Linked DNA regions of Schizosaccharomyces pombe. Changing the gene in region 4 together with the main gene of any one other region gives a genetic interaction. Each region holds a gene or a part of one and is shown on either strand. Other genes may lie near its edges. The genes, in order: mad1, med1, ccp1 and dad2.

What was found.
Region 1: mutations in dad2 (region 4) and mad1 together harm fitness more than expected from each alone (negative genetic interaction), as found in Schizosaccharomyces pombe (3 studies listed by BioGRID, with this or other methods).
Region 2: mutations in dad2 (region 4) and med1 together harm fitness more than expected from each alone (negative genetic interaction), as found in Schizosaccharomyces pombe (3 studies listed by BioGRID, with this or other methods).
Region 3: mutations in dad2 (region 4) and ccp1 together harm fitness more than expected from each alone (negative genetic interaction), as found in Schizosaccharomyces pombe (3 studies listed by BioGRID, with this or other methods).

What each region holds. Positions count from the first base shown.
Region 1 is NC_003423.3:1,272,660-1,280,664, forward strand, and holds mad1 (mitotic spindle checkpoint protein Mad1), read right to left. Parts: upstream 4,415-8,005; 5' UTR 4,401-4,414; coding exon 4,289-4,400; exon of another isoform or gene 4,239-4,288; coding exon 2,320-4,238; 3' UTR 2,180-2,319; downstream 1-2,179. Other genes in the region: 3'-tRNA-processing endonuclease Trz2, read right to left, coding at 1-1,355; rps2501 (40S ribosomal protein eS25), read left to right, coding at 1,591-1,593, 1,644-1,884, 1,989-2,011; phosphatidate cytidylyltransferase Ptp4, read left to right, coding at 5,699-5,774, 5,812-6,050, 6,373-6,714; ribose-phosphate pyrophosphokinase Prs5, read right to left, coding at 7,243-8,005. UniProt on the Schizosaccharomyces pombe protein: Central component of the spindle assembly checkpoint. Has a role in the correct positioning of the septum. Required for anchoring mad2 to the nuclear periphery.
Region 2 is NC_003424.3:536,348-544,161, forward strand, and holds med1 (mediator complex subunit Med1), read left to right. Parts: upstream 1-1,562; 5' UTR 1,563-2,047; coding exon 2,048-2,281; exon of another isoform or gene 2,282-2,327; coding exon 2,328-2,975; intron 2,976-3,017; coding exon 3,018-3,500; 3' UTR 3,501-3,665; downstream 3,666-7,814. Other genes in the region: DYRK family cell polarity protein kinase Pom1, read right to left, coding at 1-1,378; translation initiation factor Tif5, read right to left, coding at 3,778-4,965; pol4 (DNA polymerase X family), read right to left, coding at 5,690-7,210. UniProt on the Schizosaccharomyces pombe protein: Component of the Mediator complex, a coactivator involved in the regulated transcription of nearly all RNA polymerase II-dependent genes.
Region 3 is NC_003423.3:2,390,555-2,398,758, reverse strand, and holds ccp1 (CENP-A histone disassembly chaperone Ccp1), read left to right. Parts: upstream 1-3,177; 5' UTR 3,178-3,197; coding exon 3,198-3,270; exon of another isoform or gene 3,271-3,360; coding exon 3,361-3,471; exon of another isoform or gene 3,472-3,540; coding exon 3,541-4,056; exon of another isoform or gene 4,057-4,149; coding exon 4,150-4,184; 3' UTR 4,185-4,316; coding exon of another isoform or gene 4,317-4,965; 3' UTR 4,966-5,056; coding exon of another isoform or gene 5,057-5,085; 3' UTR 5,086-5,190; exon of another isoform or gene 5,191-5,201; intron 5,202-5,252; 3' UTR 5,253-5,287; downstream 5,288-8,204. Other genes in the region: eIF2 alpha kinase Gcn2, read right to left, coding at 1-1,918, 1,968-2,084; tlg1 (SNARE protein Tgl1), read right to left, coding at 4,317-4,965, 5,057-5,085; protein mug20, read left to right, coding at 5,656-5,789, 5,833-6,100, 6,155-6,208; pib1 (ubiquitin-protein ligase E/phosphatidylinositol(3)-phosphate binding protein), read left to right, coding at 6,662-7,501; tRNA dihydrouridine synthase Dus1, read right to left, coding at 7,893-8,204.
Region 4 is NC_003424.3:2,783,090-2,790,084, forward strand, and holds dad2 (DASH complex subunit Dad2), read right to left. Parts: upstream 3,204-6,995; 5' UTR 3,060-3,203; coding exon 2,924-3,059; exon of another isoform or gene 2,893-2,923; intron 2,596-2,892; coding exon 2,447-2,595; 3' UTR 2,070-2,446; downstream 1-2,069. Other genes in the region: porphobilinogen synthase Hem2, read right to left, coding at 852-1,841; dynein light chain Dlc1, read left to right, coding at 4,981-4,989, 5,039-5,149, 5,210-5,425; protein Pop6, read left to right, coding at 6,001-6,288. UniProt on the Schizosaccharomyces pombe protein: Component of the DASH complex that connects microtubules with kinetochores and couples microtubule depolymerisation to chromosome movement; it is involved in retrieving kinetochores to the spindle poles before their re-orientation on the spindle in early mitosis and allows microtubule depolymerization to pull chromosomes apart and resist detachment during anaphase.

The DNA.
Region 1 (8,005 bases), on a different chromosome or scaffold from region 4:
CGAAAAAATTGGGATATGGCTCCCTCGCCGCAGTCCAGCATGATGACTGTTCCATCGATTGCGACTGAGTAAGAACTTAAGCTTCTACGCCAAGTAGGACAGGTGGCACTAGTTCCTAAGACATCCAGCGTGTATCCTTCATTTTCAAAGGGTAAAGGATTAAACGAGCTAAATTTTTTAGCCAGCTTCACCGGACTATACGAAGGACTCTCTGAAATCTTGCACTGCTCATCATAAAGAACCATCGATGTTTCTTCCTTCAGGACATAAGTATTTTCAGGCAATTGTGTCTGTGTATCCAAAGTGGAAGGCTTTATATCGAAGGCAGCAAAATCACGGCAGGCTGGCAAAACATTTCTTCCCTTATTTCTTTGGAAAACAGGGTTATTACTGGCAAGTTCGATACACGAGATGAAATGTTGAGCACGAGAAAACTTTGGGTGAGATAAAAATTTGATATATTCTGGCCCCCAAATACCCTTTTCTAATATATGAATTATACAAGTGGGATATACGTCTGAGAATGAGTCTACATGTTTTGACATTTGGTTGAGGGCAGAAAGACTCGAACAACCGAGAACATAAAAGTATTGACGCTTCCTAGGAGGACCCACTACTTGATGAGGATAAATCCATGTAGTACCATCTTTGCTCAACACCGCTTCACCGGCGCATAACTTGCCGTTTGATGGGCCAAAAGGAACTCCTAGAGCTAAAGCCTTGTCCGCATTAAACACTCCAGCTGCCTCTTTGCTGTTGAAAGAAAGAAAAGACCAATTGGAGTATATATTCCCTTTAATCGTACAAAATTCCGGCTCATCTAAGTAAAAAGAATTCGTAGCATCGGCATTATCCTCACTTGAGAATGAATTAAGATCGAGTCGTAATGGACTTCCTGAAAAAAGATGATGAGATTTTTTAATAATTGAAATTACAGGTTTGGGAGCATGCAAACCCCAAGTGTTTTGTATACCACTGGATTGTAAGTAGCCAAAAAGGCCAGCAGTTATACCCCAAGCGTTCAGGGATTGTAAACTAGGTGGCATTAAAAATACACTGACAGATTTCCCTCCATAGTTAGACGCTTGACTTCGAAACTTCATTTGAGTCAGTTCTCCCATGCTTCCAATAAGGTACTTTCGATTATCGAGAGAAACGCATAGTAAAGGGGCTATGAGACTATCAGGATTCAAAGAAGAAACTACCGAAAGCATAATTCTATTCGTGTTTCTTTTGGATTTGTTTCGAAATGTCAATTGACTCTGCCATCTTTTGACACTATACCAAGAATATTTGGGCGGTAATAATTGACCGAATAGCAGCGCCCGCCGTGGAACCAGAAGAGAAGCTTTCATCCCAGCATCCTTCTGTTCAATATTTCAGTTGAATTGCAATTATTGATGCCGTTTGGAAGTCCAAGTCAAAGTAAGGCTACACCTCTTTTACTTTACCTAAGTCTCATTAGAAGCTCTAGATACTTGTTACTTGATTCGAATTCTGGTGGTAAATTTTTGTTACCCAGAGGCAGTCACAAATGTTTGGACTTCAAAGCAACACCAGAAACTTGTTACAAACCAAACTTCATCAAAAATGGTAAGTGTGGATTATACCATTTGCATTGAGTACTAATTCCATATTATTAGGCACCTAAGAAGAAATGGTCTAAGGGTAAAGTGAAGGACAAGGCTCAACATGCCACTGTCTTCGACAAGAGCATCATTGACCGTATCAACAAGGAAGTTCCTGCCTTCAAGTTCATTTCTGTCTCGGTTCTTGTTGACCGTATGAAGATTAACGGCTCCCTTGCTCGTATCGCCATTCGTGATTTGGCCGAGCGTGGTGTCATTCAAAAAGTTGATCAACACTCCAAGCAAGCGATTTACAGTATGTTAAAGTTGATTGGATTCGAGACTTTTTAGTACATGTTAAGAAGTCTCTTTTCTGTGATTTACATTTCTTGATTTCTTTTTACTAACATTAATGTCTAGCTCGTGCGGCTGCTTCAGCTTAAATGACTTGAGAACGAAAAATAAATTTATTTTGAAGGTTGTATTCAACAATTTCTATTGTGCGTATGAATTCGTAAGATGATTAAAATGGTTTAGCAGTTTTGACTAGTTTGTAATGGTGAAATATATTTAGCGCTTAGGCCAGTACAAACTGTTTACAGTTTCATTGTATCGACATTGAAGGATATATTGATATTATTAGTTAAACAATCTATTTCATAAAAAAGTATTACTTTTCACATTTTGATTATGCGTATTTGTTAGTGTACATATTCATCGCCTGTAAGATGATGCTTAAGGCGTAAGTTAATCAATCATTTTTGTCAAGAAGCTCTAACGTTAGAGCCGCTAACATGCCTGGTATTGTTTTGCGTTCATCACACCAAAATCGTATAAGGCGCTCAAATTCGGGGCCTGATGGATTACCAACCAATTTCATGGTGCTGGATTCGCCATCAAATATAAAAGCGGTATTATCTTCACGAGAATATGTGGATGTAACACGAACACTCCCATTAGGCATAAAATCGAGCTTATATCCAAAAAGCGAAAAAACAGCTTCGCGAAATTCCAAAGACTTTACTGAAAAAATCTCCTTTAACCGTTGAATTCTCTTTTCTCTCTCGGCTACTTCTTTCTTTAAATCCAAGGCCTTTCTTTCAGCTATTTTAAATGATTGTATAGGTAGACAATCAACCTTTTTATCTTCCAAAAGAGCTTTCAAAGCTGAGTTCTCAGCATTCAGCATCTCCAATTGCGCAGCTTTAATCCTCTCATATTTCAAAGTAGGATTGGATCGATGCTGTAATACTCGACATGAGTTTATTTCAGTAACTTGTGCCAGTTCTTGACGTAAAGTTGCTATGGAGGATTCCAATGTAATAATCTGCTCCCTTAGAAAGGCTTCAATGTTGGTTTTCTCTTTAACTTGAAAAAGCAAATGCTGATTCTTACGATATAGCTCCGTTACGTAACCAGCATCTTTATGTTCGTTTTTCCTGCGTCTCTTTTGTAATGAGACCTCATCTGAAGTCTCATCTACATCAAGAGATACAGGCATACTTTCAAGCTTTAGCTTATATTCATCAACCAGCTTGACCAGACCTTCAATTCTTTCCAACTTCTTCATATCAGTATTTTTTTCACTCAAAATCGCCTCCTCATCATCATAGCTTTTAAGGTTTTCCCTTAAAAGGTCAATTTCTTGGGTTGCCAAAGATTTTTGTCTTTGTAGACGTCGGTTCTGCTCATGAAGTTCTTTAAGCTTTGTTTCAAGTTCGGTAATATGAGCGGCGTCTTTTTCATTTGCACCAAGCGGCTGGTTTGCAGGCTTATTAGACAATTGACTCTCTAAACTAGAAACGCGCTCTCCGAGATTAGCATTGGTATTCTGTAGAAACACGAGTTTGTTTGAAACAGCTTCAGGGGTTGGTAACTCGTTAGTAATTAAACTCTTCCAAGAATTTAATTCAGTTTGAATTTTTTCATTTTCGAGTTCAAGGGTAGCAACCTTATCCCTATATTCTTCAAAACGATAAAGTTTGGACTCCAAATCGTTTTTCTCTTCCTTGAGAATTTCAACATTCCTATTATTGGATGATAGCTTTTCAATTCGTTCTTCCTGCGCAGCTTTTAATTTTTCCAACTCGCTAATTTGAAGACGTTGCTCAGCATTTATTTTTTCCAGTTCAATAGAACTAGAAACCTGCTTGATGGACTCTTCCAATTGCTGATTATGAACTGAAAGCTCTTGTAATTGCTGCTCGGCAGCCGCAAGTTCCTTACACTTCGTTTCAAGCTGTTCGCGGGAATCCGCAAAGAGTTTTTCAAGGTTTGTAAGATTGGTATCCTTCATTTGCAAAGCTTGATTTGAGACCATTACTTCATGATTCTTTTCACTTAAAGCTTGATCATTCTTTTCTATCTGGGTTTTCAACTCTGCAATCTCTTTCCATTTTGCATCAAGTAGTTCATGGATCTTCACCTGAGTGGCTTCCTTTTCATTTCTTACTTCTTCTATTTCTTTTTGATAAGAAGTAGACTGCTCCTCCAGTTGCTTTTCAACTAGAGTTAGACGCAGCTGTAACGAATTCTTCTGTTCATGTTCTTCTGCAAGTTTTCTTTGCAACTCAATTTGTTCACGCTCAAATTCCAGTTCCTTCCGCTTTAAATCATTTTTTAGGTTTTCTAGTTGAAATTCTAAAGAAGCTAGTTTGGGATTTTTTGTTTCTACAGGGTGTCAGATCCATAAACAAACGTCAAATATAAGTTTCACATACCATTAGCAGAATTAACAGAAGGCTTCTTCAAATTTGGTTTCTTAACGCTTGTTGCTAGAAATCTAGGCAACTGTGAACGCGATTGGAACGGATCCCTAGGAGAATCCGCCATGGATGTAGTCGCTTGATACACTGTCAGCTTGGAGCTCATAGTGAGAAATTGATTTTTGGTATACCTCTTTAATATAATATTGACAATATGGAGGACAAATTGCATCTCAGTAATTTATTGAAATCAGGGAATTAAAGAAAGGTAGGACTGACTGCATATGCTCAAACAACATACTTGTTTAATGATATCTAAATTAATGGAACTTATTACTTTTTCTTTTTTTTTAAATCATAGACCTTGTTATTATTATATTATATATTTAATGTGTTGAATTCCTTAATCAATTTTCGATGCACGTGTGAACATAAAAGCTTTTAAGTCTTCTAGTTTTTTTATATTGATATTATTATTATTTATTTAAATTGCTAGACCAAATCGCGTACCCTAAGGAACTTACGTAGTCTTAACATAAATTATAATAGTTTTTTTTTTTTTTTTTTTTTTTTTTTTTAATAAAACTTCAATTTGAACAATTAACCAATAACTGAAAATAAACCTGATTTTGAGCAGACTTATTATTATTAAATAAAAATTATTACTTCTAGTTCATCAACTAAAGAATAATGGTTTTCGCATTTAATTTTCAAAATTGCTTGGCAATGATATAAGCTCTAAAATGGTTTCAGTTTCTTTTAGGAATTTTATTAGCATACATATTCAAGTTATCATTTTACTTTTTAATAGAAACTTTCGCGTACTTGAGAATTGTCTTTATATTTTCAATTAATTCTCCCATATTTGACAACAAAAAGCGAAACGTAAGAGCTCACAATAGCATCTAAAGTTTCGTAAAGTAGCGAAATCCACGTTGCGCTATTCTGAAGGTTCAGTGACTTATAAATGATTCTGCATTGGCTGTATGTCGATGCAGTTATTAATTCTCTTAATATATCATCTAAAGAATATTTACATCTAAAGCCATATAGTGTATAACCCATTCGTTTTGATACTGAGTCATCCTGCGAATCACTTTCAAAGCTATGCTATTCATCTAGGAAGTCGAGCTCTTATATTGGCAGTGATAAATAAATAAATTTTTTCCAACTGATGAAGGAAATAAATCGGTTTCTTTTGGGACTCTCAGGAAGTCATTCATTCTATTAATTTTGACTTTAGCTCATAATGTTTACGGAATAAGGAGGAATAGTGCAACGATAAAAAAATAGTGAGCTATATGCGAGAACATTCCTTGCCTCGCATATACCGATTCCTTGCATCACGGCCGGTATCGCTATTTTTTTTTTACCCATTAGAAATACCTTTAGATTGGAAAACACTACTGAGCGAATACTCATCCAATGTCGACTAAATTGACGTGGTCGCAATGGTCCAAAAAGCATGAAATTCCCCGTAAAGCACTCCATACTTCTATTGGTAAGTTGTTTTTATGACTTGGATTAACCGGGTCTAGGATTTTTTGCTCTATTACTTCAGGGATGTGGATACCACGCTGCTCAAATCATACCGGTTATAGAAATTGGATTCATACCTGCATTTACTGGAGATGTAATTCGTTTTAACTGGCCAGCTTTCAGCCGCCTTTACAATCGCGTTATTGGTCCTTTGATGCGAGAGTCCGAAAAAAATGCATGGAATGGTGTTATTTTTTATATGATCGGGGTATGGATTGTTTTAAAAGTTTTTCCAGAGGTAAGTAAAAGTCATTGTAATGTCTATCATTACTGTTATTATTCTTTAAGAAAAAGGAAGATATGGTTTTCCTTGTTCCAGGCGATCCGAAGGGTTTTGTTTTTTACTGGACATACTACTCTATAGAACCCATTTTTTCACGGAGAATGATTTTCTATTCTAAGTATTTGTCAGACCAAGCATATTGTTGTTGCATAGAGTTTAAGTTAGTATTTTTGATCATGATTACTCAAATCTACTTTGCCTTGCTTGATCTTTTCCTAACTTCACCTTCCTTCTTCTTTTACTTATATATTATGCCATAGTTACTAACTAAGTTCAGGAGATAGCAGTAATGAGTGTCCTTTTACTGTCATGGTGTGACACTACTGCCTCAACCGTTGGTCGAAAATGGGGCAAGTATACCCCGAAAATTGCCAAAAATAAGAGTTTGGCTGGAAGTTTGGGCGCATTCGTTTGTGGTGTTTTTTGTTGCTATGTGTACTGGGGCTTGTTTCGTACCGGTCCTGACAGCTTGGCCGCTCAAAGCAGAATTCCTTTCCCTTGGCTTTGCTTGATAAATGGATTTATTGGTGCCTTTGCAGAAGCTATGGATGTGTGGGGTCTTGACGATAACCTTGTAATTCCTGTCGTTTCTGCCTGTTTACTATATTTAATCATGTGATAACCATGTTCTTTTATACTGACATTCTTTTGTTTTTTCCATTCGTCCTTTCCCGACCACGTTTGAAAAATTATTGAATATAGTTATGTTTTGTTGATTCGCTCCTCCATTTATCACCATTTCTATTGTTCATCTTTTTTCCGTCTAACCAGTATGCGTACATACTGTTAAAATGTATAGAAATACCTACAAGCTTCATTACCCAGACAATTTTAGGCTTTTTGTATGAAACATGACGAAATCGTGCAATTAGACTGCCTATATAGTTTCTACATAGCTTGTACATATATAATGGTCGTGAAGAACCTTATATTTAGCAGTTTTACACTAGAGATTAGCTAAGTTGAAATTAGTTTTAGGAAATTAGCTTGATAATCATTTTGTCAACTCAAAGTAAATAATAATTATTTCCAATGTAACTGTCTAAAGTTAAAGTAAAGAAAAAGGACAATTGATAGTATCAAAAAAAATCGGATAGTCTTAAGCCAACTAGATCAAAACAAATTAAATAATATGAACAACGTACAGTTAAACCCAAACTTGATTGTGGTCATACAGTATTGAAATACTCTCACCATTGTGTATGCGACGAATTGCCTCCGCAAAGGTAGGAGCGACATCGATTATGTCAAAACATCCACTTGGTGTAATAGTTTGAGGAGCGGTGTTTGTAACAATAAGCTTGTCAATGCAAGAAAGTTTTACACGCTCAATAGCATCTCCTGATAAAACACAGTGAGTGACGAGAGCATAGATTTTGCTAGCTCCATGTTCTTTGACAAACTCTGCTGCTCGAACTAGTGTGTAAGCGGTATCAATAAGATCGTCGATGAGGATGGCGACTTTGTTTTGTACATCACCAACAAGCATCAAAGATGTTCCGTATTCATGTCGGCGATTCTTATGAATTAAAGCAAAGTCCAAACCCAGAGCATCAGCAATAGCAGTAGCACGTTTGGCACCACCAGCGTCGGGAGATACAATTACTGCGTTATGATAATTCGGGATATTAAGAGAAATGTAATGTTTAAGTAATGGTCGGCCAAAAAGATTGTCTACAGGGATGTCAAAAAAGCCCTGAAATTGGGGATCATGAAGATCCATTGTGATTATATGGTCAGCACCAGAGCACATAAGCAAATCAGCTACTAGCGTGCCGGATTGTGCAATCCATGGGTGATAACCAGTTTGCTTTTTGCATGGAACAACCGCATCTTGCAAGTCAGATAAAGGAGCACCGGAAAAGGAAAATTTTTGATCAGGTTGACGACTATATGGGAATACAGGAAGG
Region 2 (7,814 bases), 2.2 Mb from region 4:
GTACGTCAGGGGCATCCTCGTGTTTAGCTTTACTTCCTTTCTTCATACGAGAAGAACTTCTCGAAAAACTCAATCTGCTAAAAAAGCCACCTCTTGAAGATCTACCTTCTTTGTTGGAAGATTTCTGTGATTTAGACTCATTTTGGACAGTATTCCCATGTTTAGCTTCATGGTTACGATGCCCATCAACGTTTGTCTTCTGAGAAACCGCTTTAGGAGCAGCTTTCGGATCAGGATTTCTACTGTCGGGATGAACTTGAGATGATGTAGTAGTATTATTGTGATTATCGGATGAAACAGGTTTGTTGTTATCGAAGACAGAGGGGGTAGCAAAAGAGTGTGATTTGGTTTGTGATCCTACATGTGAGTGATTATTTTTAACATTAGAAAGGGTTATTTGACTATGGGGGGAAAGTTCTTTGAAAAAAGAATTGGATGTCTTCAAAGGGGATTGGATTGTAGAAAGATTCTTCGATTCTGAACTTGATTTCGTAAGGGATCCAGATATATTTGCTTTAGGATGTTGGTGATCAGTGGAATGACCTATATTAGGAGGAATAGTTGGAACAGGAGGAATTCCAGACTTATTTCCAATAGAAGCTGCTCTGGGATGTGAAGTAGAATGGAAGTTAGTATGACGCCAACTACCGGATCTCTTTGGAGCCATTGAAGCATGGTATGCATGGTTCCCCGAGGAAAAAACGCTAGATTGTAAAGGAACGGATGATACATCTTGTGTAATAGATATAACCCCACTCAAATGCCCCCCATTATTTTGCTGATTCCAATCACTAGGCTTTGATGAACGATTATAATATGATAAGGAAGTTCCAAAACTCTTAGAGTTCGATATTGAAGATGTCCTATGATGTGAAGAAGTATTCAACGACGAAGGATTGTTCTGCTGAGATGACTCGAAATCGATTGGGTTATTACCAATACTTATGTTTGACAAACGGTGTATGGAATTCCTCGGACTGTTTTTCTGTCTATAATCGTGATCAAAACTACTTCGGAGTAAACCATTGCCAGTCGAGTGGTGTATAGTAATAGCATGATTATCCATAGATGAACCAACTCCCTTTGGTTCAACATTCATAAATAACTCATCTTTATGCTCTTGTTCCGGAAAAGAAATGTTCGTATTTGAGGCATTCGTCGAAGGACTCGTATCTGCTGCTGTACTGCTAGAACTCTGGCGGTTTGGACAAATATCGTTGGAATAACTACCAACGGCAGAAAGTTCAGATGGGTTTAATAGTTCAGATTTTATTCCGAACATGTTTGCGCTTTTCCGGTTTGATGTATGAAGTTTAAATAATGCATCCGTATTTTCGTCGCCCAGAGAAACCGCTTTTTGGGACTGCAAATAGCCCATTTGCAAACTTTGCTTCAAAAAGCCAAAATTCTCACTATATTACGCTTTTACTGGCTTTTTTGAAACAAAATATTGTTTCTATAAGCTCCCTCCTTCAGTTACAGTCTCTTATCTTCTTTAAAATGCAAACTAGTAGCAGTACGTTCGTGGCTAATTAAAGCCGCGCTACACCCTGCATATCAATACCAACCACTTCTGAAAGGGCACGCAAGCTGTAAATGAAACATAGAACGCTTATTGATTTGTGCACAAATTTTACCAAAAAGAAAATATTTTATTAAGATTTACTGCATATATATTTTGATGCTTTAAAAAGAGTTTGAGTGAACATACTTTGGGTTTTTTTTAGTCCAAGGTTTAAAATTGGTTTTCATTTGTATACATATAAAATTCCCCATAACTACTGTTTTAACCCTCGTTATAAAGATAAATCAATCACACAGACCTTCCCATTGAAACTAAGTTTTAGGCGGTTCAAAATTACCTACTTGTTTTTGCAATTAATGCGTTTCTAGCAAATAGTTTGATGGCAGTAAAGGCTTCCTTTTTGCAGAACAAATTAAATTGCTCGCTGAACAGACATAAAATTGCGCTTATATACAGTGTTTTAAGCTGATTAAATACGAAATACACGACTAATTTACTAAATCTTCTTTAATAATCTTTTCGATGGATAGACCACATCTCTTTTCTGAAGTTCATTTCCGTCGAAACGCCTCTAACCCCAATCAGATTAACTGGACGCGTTATTGGATTGATTGTCTATCATCAGTTCCTTGGAATGATATCTCTGTAACTGGATTTGAATATTTGGCTAAAAAGTATGGTCTGGAGGTTTTTCAAGACTCCTCCAAACCCAATGAAGTGGTCCTCAGTTTAGCTGGAAAAATAATTTTGATCGACGTAAGTTTAAATCCTGTACATAACCGTTTTACTAATTAGTATCTAGATCACTGTTCCCATAAATGCGTCTCCAAAAGATATCAACGTTGTTTTGGCTTTTGCAAACGCTAGTGGTGAGCAATATAATAATCCTGTTGCAGAAAAATTACTTAAGGATGCAATTTACAATTGCAATACCCCACTATTTGAAAAGAATGTCAAATGGTTGGCTACCTTTGATCACTCCTCTCCTTCGGTCCAACAAAGTTGTTTCCAATATTTAGACTCACTATCCTCTTCTTTAAATGCTATTTATGAAGCAGAATTATCTTTGCTAGCACAAGAAGAAAATGTTATAATGCATGGAAACGGAAAGCCTCTCAGTAATTACGAAGGACAACTTGGTTTGCGTATTGTATACTGGAAGCTTTTGGATAAAACCTATAGCACTCAAATTTTTATGGATAATTTGTCTCATGAGTCGCTACCTCACTTGTTATTCGGATATAATTTATTAAATTCTCCTCCTATCCTCCAATCATCAAAAATTAATTGGGCACTTGAAAATACTTTGACACCTATTCCTACAACAATGGAACTAGTTTTTGATGATATCAATTTAATAATACCAGAGCAGGGCGTCAAACCTTTACTTGATTTGCTTCATGTCCATGACATTACCATTCCTTGGCCTGTCCAAAATTATAGTCATATGGTAAGTACTTTCCCTAAATATCAACTTAACTAATTTCACCAGCTTGGTTTACCTTCAAAATCAACCGTGAACTACAAATTCATTAATAAAAATCAAGCCATCCAGCTAACAGGGTTCGATGTTTCCGCACGTTCTTTGCGTCACGTACCGTTTCATCATCCCAAGCAAATTCGAGGAATACTTGCTATTGTACGCCAATATTTATTATTACAATTGATTTTGGAAAATATCAAATCAGCAGATTTAGCAGAGACTGCGGCATCTTCCTCCCTTCACCTCTCTCTATATTTTAAGGAGCATCCGATCGTTCATGCCCAATATCAAGAAATCAACAAACTGAATAATTCCGAACAAATTATCATTGTTCTATCCGTATTGTCAGATGGAAGACTGAATGTTGATTATATGTCTAGTGGTGGCAAAGAATTGTCAAAACAACAGTCTCATGTTTTTCAAAAACTTATACAACAAACATGTAACATCGGACTTGCGATAGAAGTGTTTATAAAGAAAGTCGTTAATTAGAATTTCATGCTAGAAAAAGACATTACTAATCAGTTTTAAAAATCTTTAGTAAAATGAAATTATGGAATTAGTTGGATGTTTTGAATAGTATAAATTGAACACTTTAAAAGGCTAGCCTATTTTACAAAAATCAGAACACTTTAATAGATATATTCAACTTACGAGAAACTAATTTGCTAAAACTTGAAAGAATCAGCTTAATATTTTAGAGAACAGGATTGTAAGTTATTCAATTCTCAAAGCACAAATTGTGGTAGAGAGTAAAAAGAGGCCGTTCTTATTCGTCGTCGTCTTCTTCTTCTTCCTCCTCATCTTCACTCTCAGATTCGTCACTTGCTTCAGCCAACCATGTCAAAAAAGGTTCAGCAGCTTCATGAATCTTCTTACTAGTTTCACGGCTCACATATTTCTTGCTAGCCTTTGCTCCCCATTTCTCAAACATGTCATCAGAGACCAAGTCATTCTGATAAATCTCCAAGAGTACCTTGGGAACAACGTCGATGTGCACTAATTCAGTGTTTTCCATCAAACGTTCAAACCCACCAAGAAGAGCACGTTCATGTTTATCTGTCGTGCAAAGCTTTTTAAACAATGCACCATGCTTTTCAAACTCCCCAACGTAAGGCGAAGTAATAATACATTGAACTAGTACAACAATAGCTTTACTTTTATGATGAATATTCTCTTCCTTCATCTTTTTGTAAATTTCAACATCAGAAACACCAGGGTAGTTGTCTTCAAGCCATTCACCGAATTGATCATAACGGCTAGATTCCGCTTCTTCCTCGTCGCCACGTAAGTCACTCAAAGTGAGCGAATCTTTCATATTACCTTCTAACTCTTGAACACGAGCACGAACAGCTTCTTCACTGGTATCCACAGCCCAATCTTCGTCATTTACGACCTCAGCGGTAGGGAGTTCCGCGGCTTCTTGACGAATTCTACGAGTGAGTTCGTCTTCAGCACCATCTTCTTCCTCTGCAACAGGAGAATCCCTTTTATGTTTGTGGGACTTCTTTTTTGCAGGAGGGTTCTTGACGATGACACCAGTAAGCTTGTGACGACCGTCAATGACACCACGATAGCCACAAGCTTTACAATCATAGGAAATTGTCTGATCCTTCTTATTAATGCTTAATTCAGTTTCCGGATTTTGACAAGAAGCGCATAGCACAAAACGGCGGATAAATACATCCAACAGATCTTGAAGCTTTCCAGCATCATGAGCACCGTTCACAATGTAACGGTCCATGTCAGCAATAATGGTGGTTTGGGCGCCCAACTCAAAACCAAAAAATTTAGTTACATACAAAGGGGGTCTTCCCAACGCCTTAGCGATATCGGACATGTTCGGGATTACAGTCTTTATACCATTTCCCTTGCCTTCGATTTTAGATTGCAGTTTTGGCATTCTATAACGATAGAAGCTATCTTTGACATCACGTCGGATGTTAATGGTTGCCATTGTTATTACAGTCTCGATGATTTTTTTAGGTAATATAAAAAAATTTGCTCTACTTTATGTCTTTAAAAAGCGCTTAGTGCTTGTGACTTATTCTAAAATTTGAAATATCATAACAAGTCACTCTTTCGATAAAAAATCCGTATTATCTTTAAAATGTTCCTTTTATTTCAGATGGCCAGTCCTTGAACGTTGATTAAATGCACAGTTTTGTATTTTAAACGATGTCTCAAACATGAAAGTCCTTTGGTGATGGTTTTCCAAAGGTATGTGTCAAGGTAAGGTGTTTGGTAAAAAACAAAAGTTGCAGCCACAACTTTTTATTATTTTTAACCCACTCCAGTCACGTGCCCTAAGATGAGTAAAATTGTCATTTTAACGCCATGACGTTAAAAATCGTTATTCGTCTTTAAAAAAAATCCATATTTTGTAAACACAGCATTCGCATAGAGCTTCATTGTATACCAAACTGTTAGACCTCAATTTTCCCTCTCTTTAAATTCGAGATTTCTGATAAATTTACTTGTTTGATGTCTCATTTCTGTTCCAAGGATTTCGTTTCCTAATAGACCGATTGGAAAAATGTGTAAACATTTCAAGTTTTTAGCAAAAAATCTACTAAAAGTGTCGGGTAGCAAAGAAACATAAATTAAAAGAAGCTTCGTAAAACAATTTTCGAAATCGCGAGTTAGTAATGTGGCGATCTTAAGGTCAAGATAGGTATTTACTATCCCGTGTTACGAAACTTTGGTTCAATATACTCTAGGGAGAAATATCTAAAAATGTCTTTTTCAGCTTCCACGGGATCCTTCCACTCATTAAATTCGTCGGGACATATGTCTTTTCCTGTTTTAAGATTTATGATTTCGAACGAATCATAGCTTAGACCCAAATGAGAGTTAGCATAAAGCTTCAAATCGCGAAGAAAAAATATTCCTCCACTCCATCCTAATACGGCAGAGCCTATGTATGCAGGCGGCACTACTATAATATCAACACGCCTATTGATTTTAGAAGAATTTGACAAAATGACTGCTAGCATTACATAACCTTTCTTTCCTCCGCAAGAATGTTCCTGAACAGAAATTAGTCGGAATTGAAATTCCTCGTCTAAAATTCTTAAGAGAACATCCACCAGATGTTTTGTAGAATGAGTATGTGATGGACTCAACACCATATCAACGTCCGCTCCAACAGGCTTTCCCCGACGAAATCCACCTACTAGACAAGACTGAATTTTAATTCCATCCGGCATCCGTGAGACAATAGTTTCATAAATCTCCGTGGCTTCCTCAATGGTTACAGTTTTACAAAAATCTTCATAAAACTCCAGACCAACTTTTATTTGTTTGGTAAATGAATCTTTGTGCTTCCTAACTTGTTCAATCGTACGCCAACCCTTTTGGTACCATTCAGCAGCATGAGAAGCACCAACTCCGAAAATATTGTAAAATAAAAGCAAAATTTTTGAAGCCGGATCCTTCTGAAATTCCTCAGCTTCTTTTAAGGTTCCCGTTGATGCAAACTCTTTCCAAAGATGTACTATTTTGGGCCCACAACCGGGCATTTTCTCTAATTGTTCTGCGCTATCGATAGGCAAGGGAAAAGCTTTAATGGTTGCAATCGCCATTCCGTATGCCCTAGTCCTTACTGATTCACCGTTTACTTCTCTGCATGTTTTCAAGACACTTAAAGCATTCACAAAGGCTTGATTGACACATTTAAGCGGTGTCTTTCTCTGGCACGCATACCGTGGAATTTCAAGAACGTAAGGGTATTCTTTCGTAGTCGGATAAACTGATCCTTCTTGATCAACATTGTCAATGCTTTTAACTTCGTTATTATTTTCTGTGTTTGGAGTTTCGTGGTTTTCAAAATCGTTTGGTGCTTCAGTGTGCGAAGCAGGTCTTGTTGAAGGTGTGTACGGCGAGCCAACTTTCATCTCTGGTTTTCGATGCCATATCACATATGGATTCCCGGGCGTTAAAGATTCTTTAGGCTCGTTAAGCCAGTCAATTTTAACAATCAACTTACACGATACACACGTCTCTAACGGTGTTCCAATTGTTCTTAGCTCTCGCCGAACTCTGTTAATTTGACTGTAATTGACAAAAATGTAATCCGCTTTTGCTGCATCGTTTGTGAATTCTCCTCCAAAATTTACAATTTTTGATCGCGCATCTTCATATTGTGAATTGGACAAGCGATTATGTAGTACATAATTTGTACTGCTTGCAAGAATCTTCATTTTGAACAATTACAACTAAGGGAACAAAAAACGTATTGCCTATTAATTGACCTTGTAATAAATTTCGAGGTTACCCAATTCTTAGAACAAACTAATATGGAAAATAAAAACAAGCTAAAGGCACAATAAAGCATCTACTAAGTTACAAAGCAATGATAGACATGATGATGAAACCGACATGTTTTAAGGTAATTTTATTTTAGAGCAATGCAACTTTTCCTTATGTGCTAATAATGACACATTAAAAGGAATAAAAAAAATGTTAATAATACGTAAGCAAACTACTTTTGAAATTACACTATCATACAGTTTCTTTATTATTTCTGTGCTATTGTTTAAGTACTATTGCAAATCGCTTTGCATTCTATCCAGTTTATCGCAATCATTTGCTTGTAATTCAACTTATCCCAAAGAATTCTTTAGTTGTATCAACAGTTCTACGGTGAAACTAATAATTCAATATACAAAAATACTACACGTTAAAGCATTCAAATAAGAATAATTAAACGTGATAAAATTTGGCTTATTTCTGTACTCCATTTTGTAACGTAACTTTTCTTAATTTTGCAGTTCAACTATAAGTTAAAGTATTTGTTGCACAGCA
Region 3 (8,204 bases), on a different chromosome or scaffold from region 4:
CGTCTGCAGATGAATTATAATCATCTTCAAAGTGAATATCGAGGCTAGAAAGCTTATCGGCTGGAAGACTTGAAGATTGCCGAAAGTCCACTGCCATATTTAAAGATTGACTCAACGACTCACTATCGGAGCTAATTATCTCAGTTACAGTATCATTAGCTTCAGTTTCAACCCAAGCAGTATAATAACGCACTACATGTTCATGATGTAAACGAGACAAAGTCATAACTTCACGTAAAATTCTGCTATTCTCTTTATCATCGCTCAAAAGGACAAGCTTTTTAACCGCATAAAACCTTCCATCAATTCGATTTTTGACTTTAACTACTTCACCAAAACCGCCACGTCCTAAAAATTCAAGTTCTTCAAAATCTGTTTCATAACGTGAAACGCTTTTCCTGTACAACAAATCAATAATTCCATCCTGTTGACCACCATAAGAAGGGCGTGCAGATTTTGAAAAGGTACCCTGCTCAACTGGAGGAAGAACTGCTGTACCCAAACGAATGACATGACTACTTAACAAGTCAATGGCGCTAGGGCGTTTCCTTGAATCGCGCATTAAACAGCGACGAACCAAATCTTGATAAGACCCCGGAAGAAGAGGAATTACATGAGTCATAATCAGTTTTAGTGAAGAGAATTTATTCAAAACGTGAGCTCCACAAAGCATCTGCAATACTAATAGTCCAAAACACCAGATGTCAGTTTTTCTCGATGCAGCTGCAAATGATGACTCAGAAACCTCTGGGGGATACAGCCCTTCCGGTAGAATATTGGTAATGGATTGAGAATTAATGTTAAAAGGATGAGATGCGTTCATGTCTCGTAAAGTGCGTGTAAACCCAAAATCCATTAGCTTTGCAAAAGTTCTATGGCCTGAATGAAAAAGCACCACATTGTCCAAGTGCAAACTTTTGTGTGAAATTCCAAGACGATGCAGCTCAGCTAAACCTTCTAAAATATTGTTTGAAAAAGCTCTAACGGTTTCAACGTCTAAAGTAAGGACGGTTTGTAAAAGACTAAACAGAGTGAACTTCGGAGAATATTCTTGCAAAACGTACAACCTCCAACCATAACCTCGTGTCTCTCTTTCCAGTTGATACTCATAAATTGAAGCTAGTAAATCATGCCGAATAACTTTCAGACTTTCAAGTTCATATTCTAATTCCTGTATTTCACGTTTTCCGTCTTCTGTACTCCAGTAAGGCGTACTAATTCGGACGGTTCTAAGTAGAAAAACACAATCCTGTAAAGATATCTCTTTAGATTCAGGCTTGACCAAAGTCAAAGTAGAAAGGTTGGAATGCGAGATTGTATACAAAGGAAGCACTCTATTAAATGTAACCAAAGAATCGTGACAGTCTCTAACGGATATAGAACAATCAAAATAAATAGAAGTTGGGAGGGTTTCGAGAGAAGTTGTTTCCTTACTATTCGTCTTTTTCTTAGAAGAAGATTGCGGTGTTTCGTATGAGCGGCGTTGTAATTCATCTTGAATTTTGTTCTGAAGCGTTTGTTCTTCCTCAAATAAGGCATCTTTCTCCCGTTTTAACCTAAGTTGTAAATCCACTTCCGCTCTCTCTCGATCATGCTTTAGTTGTACCGCACGTTCCTCTTCCAAGCTAGCAAATTGAGAAGAGAGGTCAGACTGCCAATCATTAAGATAGTCCTGCACTATACTGGCAAGTTCAAAAATCATTTCCTCTCCTAGCAAGTCTTTTGCCTTTGTATCTAACTTATCAAGCAAAAATCGAATCTGAGAGTTTAGGACATTTTCTCCATTTTGTAACTTGATCACTGGTTTCACATAAGGATAGCTTCTTCCAAGCTCAATACAAAGATCAAGTTTCGCAATACTTTTAGAGTTTGCACTTCTTGAACATAGATGTATACAATAAACATGGCCGTTTGTAACCTAAGATACCATTGTTAGTAAATGGGTAGTGAACAAACATTAATCATACATTCCAAGCATTCCTAACTTTCAACTCCTCAAAATCATCCATAAAAATGGCTTTGAGGGCCTCAATTTCATTTTCTTGAATTTCCTTGCATAGTTCCAGACGTTTCGCCGCATCCATGAACAGCTTTTACCAACTATTGTTGCCAATAATTTACTAGTTTAATAGGAAGCAAATATATTTATTCACAATTAAACTGTTGGTTGAAAATTCGTCCTGTGTAAACTGGAAGGAAAGAAAGCAAATCAGTTTATATCAGGACGGCAATATAGGACTTGAAAATATAATTATTATCAATTCTATTTCTTTTCTTTCCTCTGAATTGGATTTTTAGATAAATTGCTTGTTTGCCGCGAATTTGCTGGAGGAAGAAGTTTCTCGCTCGTGGTATACTAAAGATGGAAGAACGCAGTATACTGGTATTGTAATGAGTATAGATTGATTTGAGCCGAATAAATGCGATAATCGGCACGGATCATACATTCTTTAGTTAAGATGTAATTTTGAGTTGGATAAGATGAATCAGACTTCAGATCTTCAATCGATAACGAACAGTTGGATATAATGATTATCTGCATTTGTATGCAAAGCGCTTCATTGTTTGAAGTGAAGCGGTCAAAAAGTTTTAACTTTTAATCGCGTTTGGTTAACTTTTCTTCATTGTTTTACCATAATCATGGATTTTTGATTAAACTACAAAGACATACTTCATAACTGATAAAATAGATACACCAGTAAACTATAACAGCGTTTCATATAATGCAATATAATACAAATTTGTAGTTGCATTCGAAATGTTATACCTTTTTTCCTCCTCTCCTTTCTTCATCATGGTCAGGAGAAGTTTGGAAAATGCAAGCACGCTAGCCTGAAAGCTCGAAACCGCGCAAACTACAGTTTATTTTCTAATTTTACTCTTTGTTCAGACTAATAAGTTATTACACTTATAAAAACAACCTATGAAAATGGTGTGAGTTAAAAACTAGAATCCTGCTCGATTACTAGTAATATGGATGGTTTGTATACTGTTGAAAAAGTCAAGGTTAAATTATTGCAAGCTACAGAAGCTACGGCAGTCATTATATTGGAAAGTAAAGCCTCTGATATACTTTGCTAGCATTGTTCATCGTACGTAAAAACGTGGTAAGGGTAGTGCCTTCATCATCGTTGACGAAGTGAGAATTTTCGAATTACTATTAGATTTTTCTCCCTTGCACGAAATTAACCTACAAAATGGAGGCAGCTCAAGCTTTTGAAAATCTCGCAAACCTAGAGCAAGAGTTTGGAAAAGCAGAAATCGAAATATGTATGTTTAATCGATTTTGCATTTTTGTAGCATAAAATTACGTTTTTTATAAAAAATGTGTTAACAATTGCTAATGTATCTTGGTGCTAGTGAAGAAACAAAATGAGCTTTTTCAACCGCTTTTTGAGCAGCGTCGTGATATTTTGAAGACCATTAACAACTTTTGGGTAGTAGTTCTGGAAGCTGCTGGGGATGAAATCAGTATGTAAAATTGTATACTATTATTGTTTTTGTTTAAACATTGTTGAAATTCTAATTAAGTTATTTCAGGCCAGTACATAACACCTGAAGATAGTGTGTTACTTGAAAAACTCGAAAATATTTATGTTGAAAGGTTTAATGAAAAGGAACCAAGGGATGTCCGAATTTCGCTTACCTTTCAACCAAACGAATATCTTCAGGACGACAACCTTACCTTGGTAAAAGAAGTGAGAATTAAAGAGGAAAAAGCAAAGGATGATGAGGGTTTGGAAAAAAAGATAACCAAGTATACTTCGCAACCTGTTGATATACATTGGAAACCAGGAAAGAGTTTATTTAGAAAAAATAAAAAATTACCTCCTAATTTTTTTGACTATTTTCAATGGACCGGAGAGGAAGAGGACGATGATTTTGATGGAGCAACACTCACAATTTTTCTGGCAGAGGATCTTTTTCCAAATGCTGTAAAATATTTTACAGAAGCCATGACCGAAGAAGCGAGTGATGAGGATGAGTCAGTAGATTTGGAGGAAGATGAGGAAGAAGAAGACGAAGAAGACGAAGAAGGGGACGAAGAAAAGCAAGGTACGAAAACAGGTCTTAAAAAAATAAGGCGAAAGCATGAATAGATGATATGATAGATGTCAATGTATTGTAAAACTAACACAAAAATCGCAGAACCACCTTCCAAAAAGTCCAAGAAGTCTAATTAATTTAAGGAACGAGAACACAGACATGAAATTTTTTTTGTCTTCCCAAAGCTCGAGGTTACCTATGGAATGATTGGTTATTCGTTTATTGGGAAGATGGTTCAAAGAATTAAATAATACAATATAAAGATTTAGTTACAGCACAATAACCAATACCAACAATGCAATTAAGATGATAATGAGTACGGTAATACAACATCCAGATTTAGAGTCTGCGCTTGCAATCGTAAAATCTTTCAACCGCTTCATACCCCTGCGAAGCTTACTATTAGTGGTCTCAATGGAATTGTCAAGAGTATCTAACAAGTCAGCCTGTTGACCCAATTCTTCGCCCATCAAAGCTGCCTGCCCACGAATGTTTCCAATCGTGTCGTAAACCCCGTCCAGCATTACGTCTTGTTGCTGATAAAGCTGCTCTTGATATTGTCGATTGACAGCATGATCTTCTTCAGACAAACCAGCTGAGGCACCATTGTCAACAGTATAAGGTTCTGTAGAAACTGGTGTGCTTGGGGCAGCACCCATCTTTAACTGTATATTGTTTAACTCAATATCCAGTTCCGAGACAAATCTCCTTCTCGACTTTAGTTCTTCTTCATCTAACCCAAAATGCTCAGAATTTTTCATCGCTATTTCCACAGCAGCTTTTAAGTCCTTCAATGTTTCGCTTAACTCATCAATGGCGTAAGTAAGCTCAGTATTTGGTGAAAGGACTCCAGAGTTTCGTGCGGCCATAAAAGAATTGTAAAGCTTTCGCACTTGCTCCATTTGATTTGATGCATCCCTATATTTCGAATAAATGTCAGTTAAATAAAATCTTAAAGCAACAAAAGGAATCTATTAAGACATTTCTGGTTCATCATTGCACAACTTACGCTTTGACTTCATAAAAGGGGTCCTCCATGTTGATGATGTAGAGATATGAGCCAATTTTCTACTTGGAAATGCTTTTATAATTTAAAGAAAAATAAGATAATATAAAATAAACGAAGCAAATTCGTATTATCAGGTATGCTGTCTGCAAATACTAAAGTACTGTGCTGATTCAGTCAAGTAACGACTTTACGATAGATAACGCTACCTAACTGCTCACTCAAAGATCACCGTAAACATTGAGTCCTTACAAAACAAGTAATGGAGAATAAATAAGAAAGCAATATCTCAATCTTGTTGAAAAAACAGCAACCTCCCCTTGTCACTATTTTGTTTTGATTCAACCGTATTCCACCGTTGTATGTTAGATTAAATGTAAACATCTAGGTAAATAAAACGTTTTCAATGGCCAAAAGCAATCTTTCATTCTAGCCTTTGTGCTAAAAAATTAATTCTATTGCTAAAAACCTAAGACTAAATGTTTTAAGAGAAACTGAACACAAAGAAAGTCTTGTGAGCTAAAACAGTACGCTATATATCGCTAGCTTGATGTAAACAAAAGACGCGTAGACACTATTAACATGTTATCAAGAACCACAACATGTCTGAAATTATAACGTCTTTGCAAACAGAGCTGAGCAATCGCCATGCTAACATGGTATCTGAAGCAGTATTAGCATTCAGTGAGCATCATGATAGTGCATTGCATTCATATTTTTTGAATGCACGTGTCAAGTACGTCCATAAGTTTCTTCAGCTAATTGACCCAACAATTCAGAGACGTGATTTTAGAAAGCCTAAGAACGACAGAGGAGAAGCTTCGTGCTTTAGATAAATTACAGCTGGATGCTTCGAAAAACCTGTCAAACCTGTTGGTGGAATATAATAGTATAAACGCAGAATTGGAGTCCGTCAATAGTAAGATCTCTTCTATTTCTTCCCAAGAATATGCATTGGAAGAATTTCAGGCACTTTCCCAGAATTTTGAGAAGAATTTAGTTCAGCATCGTCGTAATTCCCAAAATAAGCTCAAATGTGCAATGGAGGTAAACATAAAAACAAATTATATTGTCATATTACTAACCTCAATAAATTTAAAGAAACTAAAGATGATTGAAACCTCAACTCATAAAGCTATTCTCGACAATTTTTAAATTTCAGAGATCTAATGTCATACTGCCTCAAACCAAGCTTGATAATAACGAAGAAAGTCAACTTTCATCAAACACGCTGACATCGTTATATTAAGGTCTAAATGAAACGGCGCTAAATTTGCTTCTGAGCTCTATGAAACATACATAAAGAAAAGATGTTTAAATGCGTAATTTCTGATAAAGTTATTCTTCTTGGATAGCTTTTTGATATTTACTACAATTGATATTCTAAATGACTTATTATCTTATTCTCTTACGTTAACGAAGTTTAAAAAATTTATTTTGCGATATGCAGTGAGTTTTCCACTTCCACCGGTAATCATATTCCTTTGATCAGTATAAGTTACCCTTTTGTTTTGACCTTATCTCCTGAGGCAACTTTCAACACCATTCTAGCGGGTACTCAACTTTTTGCTCTCGAACATAGTTTAATGAATTTTTATCAAATTGAGTATGGACGAGGATGAGACGACTTATCCAGAGGCTTTGAGACGCTTACTCATTGAAACGCCGGCGGCAATTTGGCAACTGGACGATGAAAGTGCGCAGTGCAATAATTGTGGTGGTCCTTTTACCTGGTTTCGGAGAAGACATCATTGTAGATGGTGTGGTAAACTTTTTTGTTACAATTGCTGCAATAGTTTTGCAAAGCTTCCTGTGAGCAGTGTTTCAGTAGATCCAACTGAGGATCTTATCCCACAAGACATGTTTATTAGAGATCCTGATTTTCTTGCTAATGATAATGATGATGATAATGATTCACAAGACTCTTCATGGATCAATGTACGAGTTTGTGTCAATTGTCGTCAGCAATTGTCGGAACTAAAAGAACTGGATTTACCCTATCCTATCACTACTTGTTTGAACGATGATACCACTACTCGATCTAACAATCAAGTTATACAGTCTTCCTGTGGAAACAATTTGCAGAGGATTGAAGAGCCTGATGATTTTGTTGAATGTCCAGTTTGCTATGCTCCTCTCTCAAGTTTTAAAACCCTTTCTGAACGGGAATCTCATGTTGCGAATTGTCTAAGTAATAATAGTTCATCTCCAAGAAACATGACTGAATTTTTGAAACACGCTAGAAGATACATAAGTATGCAGCTATCAGAGACTTCTCCTTGCCTGGGGCAAGAATGTATTATATGCTTTGAAGAATTTGCTGCTGGTGATAGAGTTGCAAGGATAGAATATTGTCTATGCATTTTTCATTTAAAATGTTATCGTGATTGGCTGAGTACTGGGGCTGCTGGTTGTCCTGTTCATGCCGCTACACTGCATTTATCTTAATATCGTTCCAAATTACTTCTAGGTTTCTAATTTCGGCTTCGGTTGCTTTTGCATGATTAAATTGCTGTCTTCTCTCTCCTATTATTTCTAGGTATAGGCATCTAACATTGTATCATTACTTGGTTATTTATTTCAGTTATGCCCTTTCTTTTCGAATTTGTTTTTCTTGCATTGTAATCATACATTGGGATGTCGAATTTTTATACATATACTAATACTTTAATGCCTTTACAAATCGTTTCGCATATTTTATATCCTTACAAATATAATATAACTTTTAATCTCAGTAAAAATATTATTTTAAATGAACTCAATGATTATGTACCACCAAAATAATTTGCCTATATTAGTATAGTAATGCCAGAACAAAACAAAAAAAAAGAATTATGGACTATGCCACAGAAGCATTGACCTTTTTCTTTACAGGTCCCTCATCAGCGGTTACTTCAACTGGCTTTCGCTTGGTTACTAGAGGAACCTCCAGAGGCCGAATGTAAGGCTGGACACGCCACCAAGGAATAACAGGGTAACCCATAGAATCTTTAACAGATTCCTTAACATCTTTATCTTCATTAATTTCTCCCTTCTCTTCGCATTCTAGTAATCTTTTCCGAAGCATAGCAACCACAGGAGGAAACGTCTCAAAATCACGAGGGGTACAACCTTGTGCTAATTTACTTCGAATATCAGTGTGAATACTCAA
Region 4 (6,995 bases):
CGTTAATCCCGGCTGCTTAAATTACATTGCTTACTGTTGTTCAAAAAAAAAATGCTCACTAGATGAGATTCTGTGTTTGTTGGCATTCTTTTTGATTTTGAAATTTTTGAACGTGTTGAGGATGAAGATTTTGATTCTAATTAGTACTAATTGTTGTCCTACCTTATATACATAGATTCATATTATTACTCCAATGCATTATGCATCATATGCAATTGAAGAGCGTAGAAGCATGTTCCTTGTCGTTGCATTTTACTTTTGAATCATTTGCAGCTGTCATACTTTTTCATTGTAAGTTATATCGATATATACATAAATAGTCAGAAGCTTCACTGAGCTACCAAATGTTGACTCATAAGGTAAAAGATGTTTGAGAAGAACATGCTCCAATTACTTTGGGTGAAGTATAGTGAATATTTAATTTATCTTATCATGCTAGAAAGTTATAGTCAGTAAACGTGGATAATGTACTTTACTTTATTCTAACTGCCATGAAGTATTGAGACAAATCTATCAAATTATATAAATTAAATATTAAATTTTTAACATGTCCGTTCATCGCTTGCAAAAGGAGTCAATAGGATATCACGATAATTTGGCAACCTACGGTTGTCTAAGATAAAATCTTGTTCTACACACGAATTTAAAGTATTTTAAAAGAAAGAAAAACAATTTCTTTCGTAAATAACTGCTACAGATTATAAACGAAAATTTTTAATAAACAAGAACCGGTAATCGCAGATTCGAAAAACAATTTCATAAGTGAAACTCTAGACCATTAAAGAATATAAACAAAATAATTTTTCAATCATGATAATTTTGAAGATGATTGATTTCGCATTATTTTTTGTTTAATATTCTAGCCATTCCAATAATTCAGGAGTAAAGTAAGTCAAAACTATGTTAGCGCCAGCACGCATAAAGCCATCCATGGTTTCCATCACATGTCTTTTTAATTCAAATACGCCAGCGGCAGCAGCAGCATGAATAATGGCGAATTCGCCTGAAACTTGATAAGTAGCAATAGGAAGGTCATCTGCTAGCTTAGAAGCCATTGCCAAAATATCGAGATAAGGTGTTCCCGGTTTTACCATAATACCATCAGCACCCTCTCTAACATCGCGAAGAATTGCTCTTTTGGCCAAGCCACGTGCATTACAGGGAAGTTGATAACAGCTGCGATCACCAAATTTTGGGGCACCATTAGCAGCAGCTCTGAAAGGACCAAAAAAACCAGAAGCGAACTTTGCAGAATAGGAAATAACGCATACTTTATGAGACAGTTCCAACTCTACAAGTTTCTGCTTAATCGCCTTAACACGACCGTCCATGCAGTCACTAGGAGAAATTATTTGAGCGCCTGCCAAGGCATAATTTCCACTAACTTCAGCAATTCTCTCAACGGATTTAGCATTATTGATAGTGCCATCTTCATATAACAGACCACAGTGGCCGTGATCAGTATACTCGCAGAGACAAACATCACAAGCAACAACCAGCTCCGGAAAAAGGTGACGAATTTCTTTAACGGCTTTAATAACTGGTCCATTTTCGGAATCGGCCATGCTACCACAATAGTCCTTTTTGGACTCGATGACACCAAACAGAATTACACTACGAAGACCTTTTTTGACGAGAGGACCCAAAAACTCTTCCAATCTATTAACACCCCATCTAAATTGATTAGGCATGCTATCAATGGCTTCCTTAGCATCATCTATTTCGGAAATGAAGATAGGATACATTAGAGATGACTTGGTAATGGGACGTACACCTTGCCATTCACGAAGCAACGGGTTTGAATACCCAGCATGCAAAAGAGAACTGATATCAACAGGCATATTAAATACTAACTGACAAAATTTATTTGATTTTTCCTAAAGATGTAAAACTGCGTAAAAAAAGCAGATTTGTGACAAATGGAACTAATGGACCAGCAAAAGCGCCTTTTATTGGTTATTTAAAAAAGTTCTAGCGGAAGATCAACAAGATTTCCTAAGAAATATTTTTAAAAAGGTAAGTGGCAGATGGCGAGAGGTTGGCGAAGGTTAAGATAAATAAGTTTAACTTTTTTTTAAAAAATCGGGCATCGGACCACGATATTTGTTGATTACATAACAATAGTATCACTCCTGAATAAATTGTTTGTCCTTGAAGAAATTAATTGTCGTAAGGGAATGCTGGGAGTATTCAAACAAGCGAAACAGGACGAACGCCAAAAGAAAATGACCAAATGAAAAATTTAGATATCATTTAGTTTACAAGGTGATCTCATTCTCCATTTCATTAGGAAGTGAAGATACTTGGAACTTGGGTTTGCTGTCGGCTTTACCAATTCTGAAATAGAAGAAACAATATGAATAAATGGACAGAACAATAATATTTATTTTAACCAATTCTTGGCCTTTTCTACTTCAGTGAGAAATTAAAAAGAGTATTTAAGTCTTTATACCTCTTCAACATCGCCTTGCTCCGTAGCAGATGCGTTGGTATTTGAAGTAGAAGGAGGAATTCGGACTAAAGCTCCTGAATGTTGGGATGCTATCTGTATTGACTCAAAAATGCTGGGCCAATTATTGAGAACAGTAGCAACAGCTGATTTTGTTAGTGATTTGAGTGTCAAACATTTATTATAATGGATTAAAAAGAGTCGTCAAGCATGTATGAGTAGTAGTGAAAATAGAAAAAATAAATAAATAAACAGATTATATTTTTTACGTTTAGGTGAATTATTGAGAGGTAGAAGTTCATTTAGAGACATGTCGGCAAATGATTGCTTTTATTTGCAATCCTGCAGATCCAATCAATTCACTTGTTTCTTTGCTTTTCTCAATGTAATGATATTTATACTTGTTCACATGAATAGCACTTAAACAGATTGGTGACAAGGCTCTTTTATATACTTTCCTCGTAATGAACATACCTTCACTTCCATCTGTTAAAGTTTCCAATTTAGCAGCAAGCGTTTCTATTTGTTGAACCATATCATTAGAAGAATCTCTTAGTTTGCATATTAGTTCGTATTCCTTTTGCTTTTCCTCAATCCTTGCTTGAAGCATGTTCACGCCAAATGTTTGTAGAAGAAGGTACGAAATTTACTAGATTTATCTCCTACACCATATAAGGCGATTTCGGTTTTGTAATTATACGTTTAAAACAAATAATTTCCGTTTCTGGAATTTTATATCTCGGAATGTATTACTAATAAAGAGGTTGATAATAGAGACTAACAAAAAATATAATGATTGATTTTACTCAATTTTAACCATTTGTTTTCATCTTTAATAAATTAGTTAGTTCATTAATTTAAAGTAATAATGAATTTAGGAAACTATGTTGAATAGTGAATATAATTACTCAAATAATGGGTCAAGTTTAGCTAGCTTATTATATCCATATTTTACTAAGTAAGTATGCATTGCTTCATCCCTCTAAAGTTTTAAAGAGGATCAAAACTGTGCATATTCTCTACTATTTCTTCTTTTATTTTTATTTTTATTTTTTTTTACACAAGGTATAATGGGCTTAAAAGACTTTTAAGATTTGGGTTCGATAGTATATTCTTTTGGTCAACAAGATTGTCAACGTTCCGATACATAAGGAAATGAATTTTTTATTCTAGACAGGATGCAACTTCCACGTATGTTTTCTAAAATTTGAACCGTATTTGACTAATTTAAAAATTCATAAAATGTCTCATCCACTATTGAAGTTTCTTCAATGATCGGTTCCAACGGGTCGTTAAAGAATACCCAACTTTTTTAGAACAAATTATAATAGAGTGGCTATTATCCATTTCTAATTAACAACTTTTTAACATACATCAAACCCTTGTTTACATGGTAATCGAGTATTTTCCTTCGCAAAAATTCACTATTACTCCAAATACTCAGTTACTGAATTGTTCGATCTCACAATTAAATTTCGCGCAGTATGTTATTATATTCTATATACAGTTTTAGAATAACGCACTTTATACATGGTTTTCGGCAATAACGTTTACATTTATATAACAATTAAACAAGTTATAATACCGTTATATCACAGAATGTCCCTGTAAATAAAAGTCAGTAAATAATCTATAGGAAAGAAAAAAAAGGAAAAGGATAAAAGGGTTAGGGGATTGAAAGGATCATTGATTTAAAATCTTTGGGTAGTAGCATCTTTATGTATCGCAGTACCGATGAGATCTTCTCCATTTTTGTAAAATTATTGAAAGAACTAATGGTAGGAATACTAAACATAAATTATCTTGTAGTTTTATTCAATGATCAAATAGTTAAAGATTTGGATGATTTCGCTACATTGATACTTGGATTCTATGAACAGCAAAACAATCGCTTTCCCTTCATGCTGAATTAACATTTCGATAACTAAAAACAGATTCTATACACTTTAAGTTCAGAGAATTTAAATTGTTGTTTTTTCCTTCGGCCCGTCTTCAAAGAAACACACTCAATTCATTACTGAAACTGGACTTGCTAAGAGTATTGTTAAAAGCGTAAAGCACACATTAATGTCTTTTGGTAATCCAAACACCAGTAATTATGTGTAATTATGAGTTTTTTCGATACAATTATTACGGTTAGAGGAAGACATGGTTTCCAAAATCATTATGCATTTCTTTCGAAATCAATTATCGATGTTTCAACCATCAACTGTTTTCAAATTGGTATTAATTAAAGAATGTAAGAAATAGAAATAAACGCTGTTTTCCTTTAAAGCAATACTTGATGCTTTATTTGAATTATCTCATTCATCCCAACGTGAAGTTGACGATTCGCTGTAAGCGAAAAATCCTTACTTAACTTCAGGTTTAAAGCAAAAAGAAATCAACAATAAAAAGAAATGTTAACGTGAGTTATGTTCGCGTTGAACTTTGTATCGATGGGGTTGTCACCGTTAAACGTCGTACTAGCTGTGGGTGTCTTTATCTCACTGCGTACCCTCCTTGTACTCATCAAAATACCCCATTTCGAAATGAGCTGTGTAAGTCGTCAAATACGCGATTCGTTTACTAATTTGATTATGAAAATAGCCTATAGATTCCAAAAAACTTGAAGAAATTTGCCTAGAAGCTGCTCAGCCGGTTTTGAAGGCTTCCGAATATGACGGAGACAAAACAGCTGAAATGAATCAATCTGTTATTGTAAGTTCATTTTATTTTACAAATATCTATGTATGGTAGCTAACTTTATGTCTCATTTAGTATGCCGTATTAAATGCTTTGAATAAGGAAACCCAGTCTTACAAATGGATTGTTAGTTCCACTCTTGTACAAAAGCTTCCCGAAGATCATCCTTCTAGAGGCGTTCACGCAGCTCACGCTGCTTGCTGGAATTGTGAAAAGGATGGAATGACTACTATCAAAGAGAGCGGTGAGGCTATTGACGTAGTATTGAGCATTATGTGGATCTCCATTTAATTACCATATTATCGAAACTGTTCCAATCATGATCATCTTCAAAGACCTCTTTGTTTCATTCCCTCTTTTTATCCCCTGGTACCAGTTTTTGCCTTAGATGCAAATTGCCTTTAACTTTGCAATTTACTAACTTTACTATCTACTCTTCTTTTCTACTTATTCCTATTATATGCAATCTACGATAGTTACGTTTCTTAAAATTCAGACATTTGTGAGCGCTCTGTAACATGTTCGTATTTTATAAGCATTTTGGTGTGTATACGATTCGTGTTCGTCCTTTTTCCAAAGGTTACAAAGGACGTTGAATCGTGTCAGTATTAGCTTGATCGAGCTTTACTTTGCTTGAACTCTCTAAGACTAGCAAGAAACTGAGGTACTTACAATAAAAATAGCGAAAAAGATTTTAAATTTGTTATATCATATACCTTTGCTTTAAGATTAAAATCATACATCTTTTTACAAGGCAGTAAAATGTTGTTTCAACTATGTAATTTATTAATTAATGTTTGGGAGCACCTGTCTAACTACCACGTTATTAGCCTACTAAACGCCATGCAGGCTTTTGCTTATAAACTATGATAATAGAGAAAAGTATAAATGCTAAGCAACTTTCTTTAAAGTTGTGGGATTCTTTTGTCAAAGAAAAACAAGTTTCTTTTGTGGCTGAAGGAGATGCTACTGTAAAACTAGTAAGTCTAGTTGAACTATTAAAACGTCGTTGTAACGAGCAGAAAATTCCCTTTAATCAAACGATTGAATTAATTCCTAGCGAGGAGCAGTCTTCTGACACTTTGATACACGGAAATCGGAGATCACTTCCTCAGTTGAAGATCGACCTACAGATTTTGGAGCATGACAGCTAAATAATACGCAAATTTTTACTCTTTTCAAAGTTACCAAAAATATTCTTCTTTCATTTGTATTCATACTTTATAGACGCTAATTCCCTGAACCAATCGATTGACAATTTACCAGTTTACGAGTTATATTACTGTTACTTTGTGAGTTTTTTGTTATAAATGATAGTACATTAATCGATGAAAACTCGATTTACCTTCTTCAATAATTGATGACCTGCAATGTCCTTTTGCCAATTTGTAGACGTCTAATATTATTTTTTCCATTCACGTCTTTGCGAATGATGCTATGGTAAAAGGGTTGAGTGGAACGAAATTAATTCATAATGCTGTTTTTTTCGCACATGGAATGGTTCAAATTGTGAAAGTTCGCTTTTTGGTCGCTCCAACGCTGCGAACAATAAAGTTTTGGATCTTCAATTGATTTCATCAATTCACTCTTATCCTCTTTTTTTTAGATCGCTGGTTCTAGCTTACACTGTATGATATGAACCGCTCTAGAAATTGGAATGAGATTCAATTGGTGAAAGTGAGGATCAAACTTGTATGGCTACGGAGTTTTTAATGGAGAGACACACCTTTAAGAATCTAAAGGCCCCATACAATAGCGCTAATCTTATTATTAAAAGCACTCTTATGGATTTCTCCGTTTTAGAGATGATACCAACATTATTTTCAAGCTGACGCAAGACTATTTTGAGTATGTATTAGAA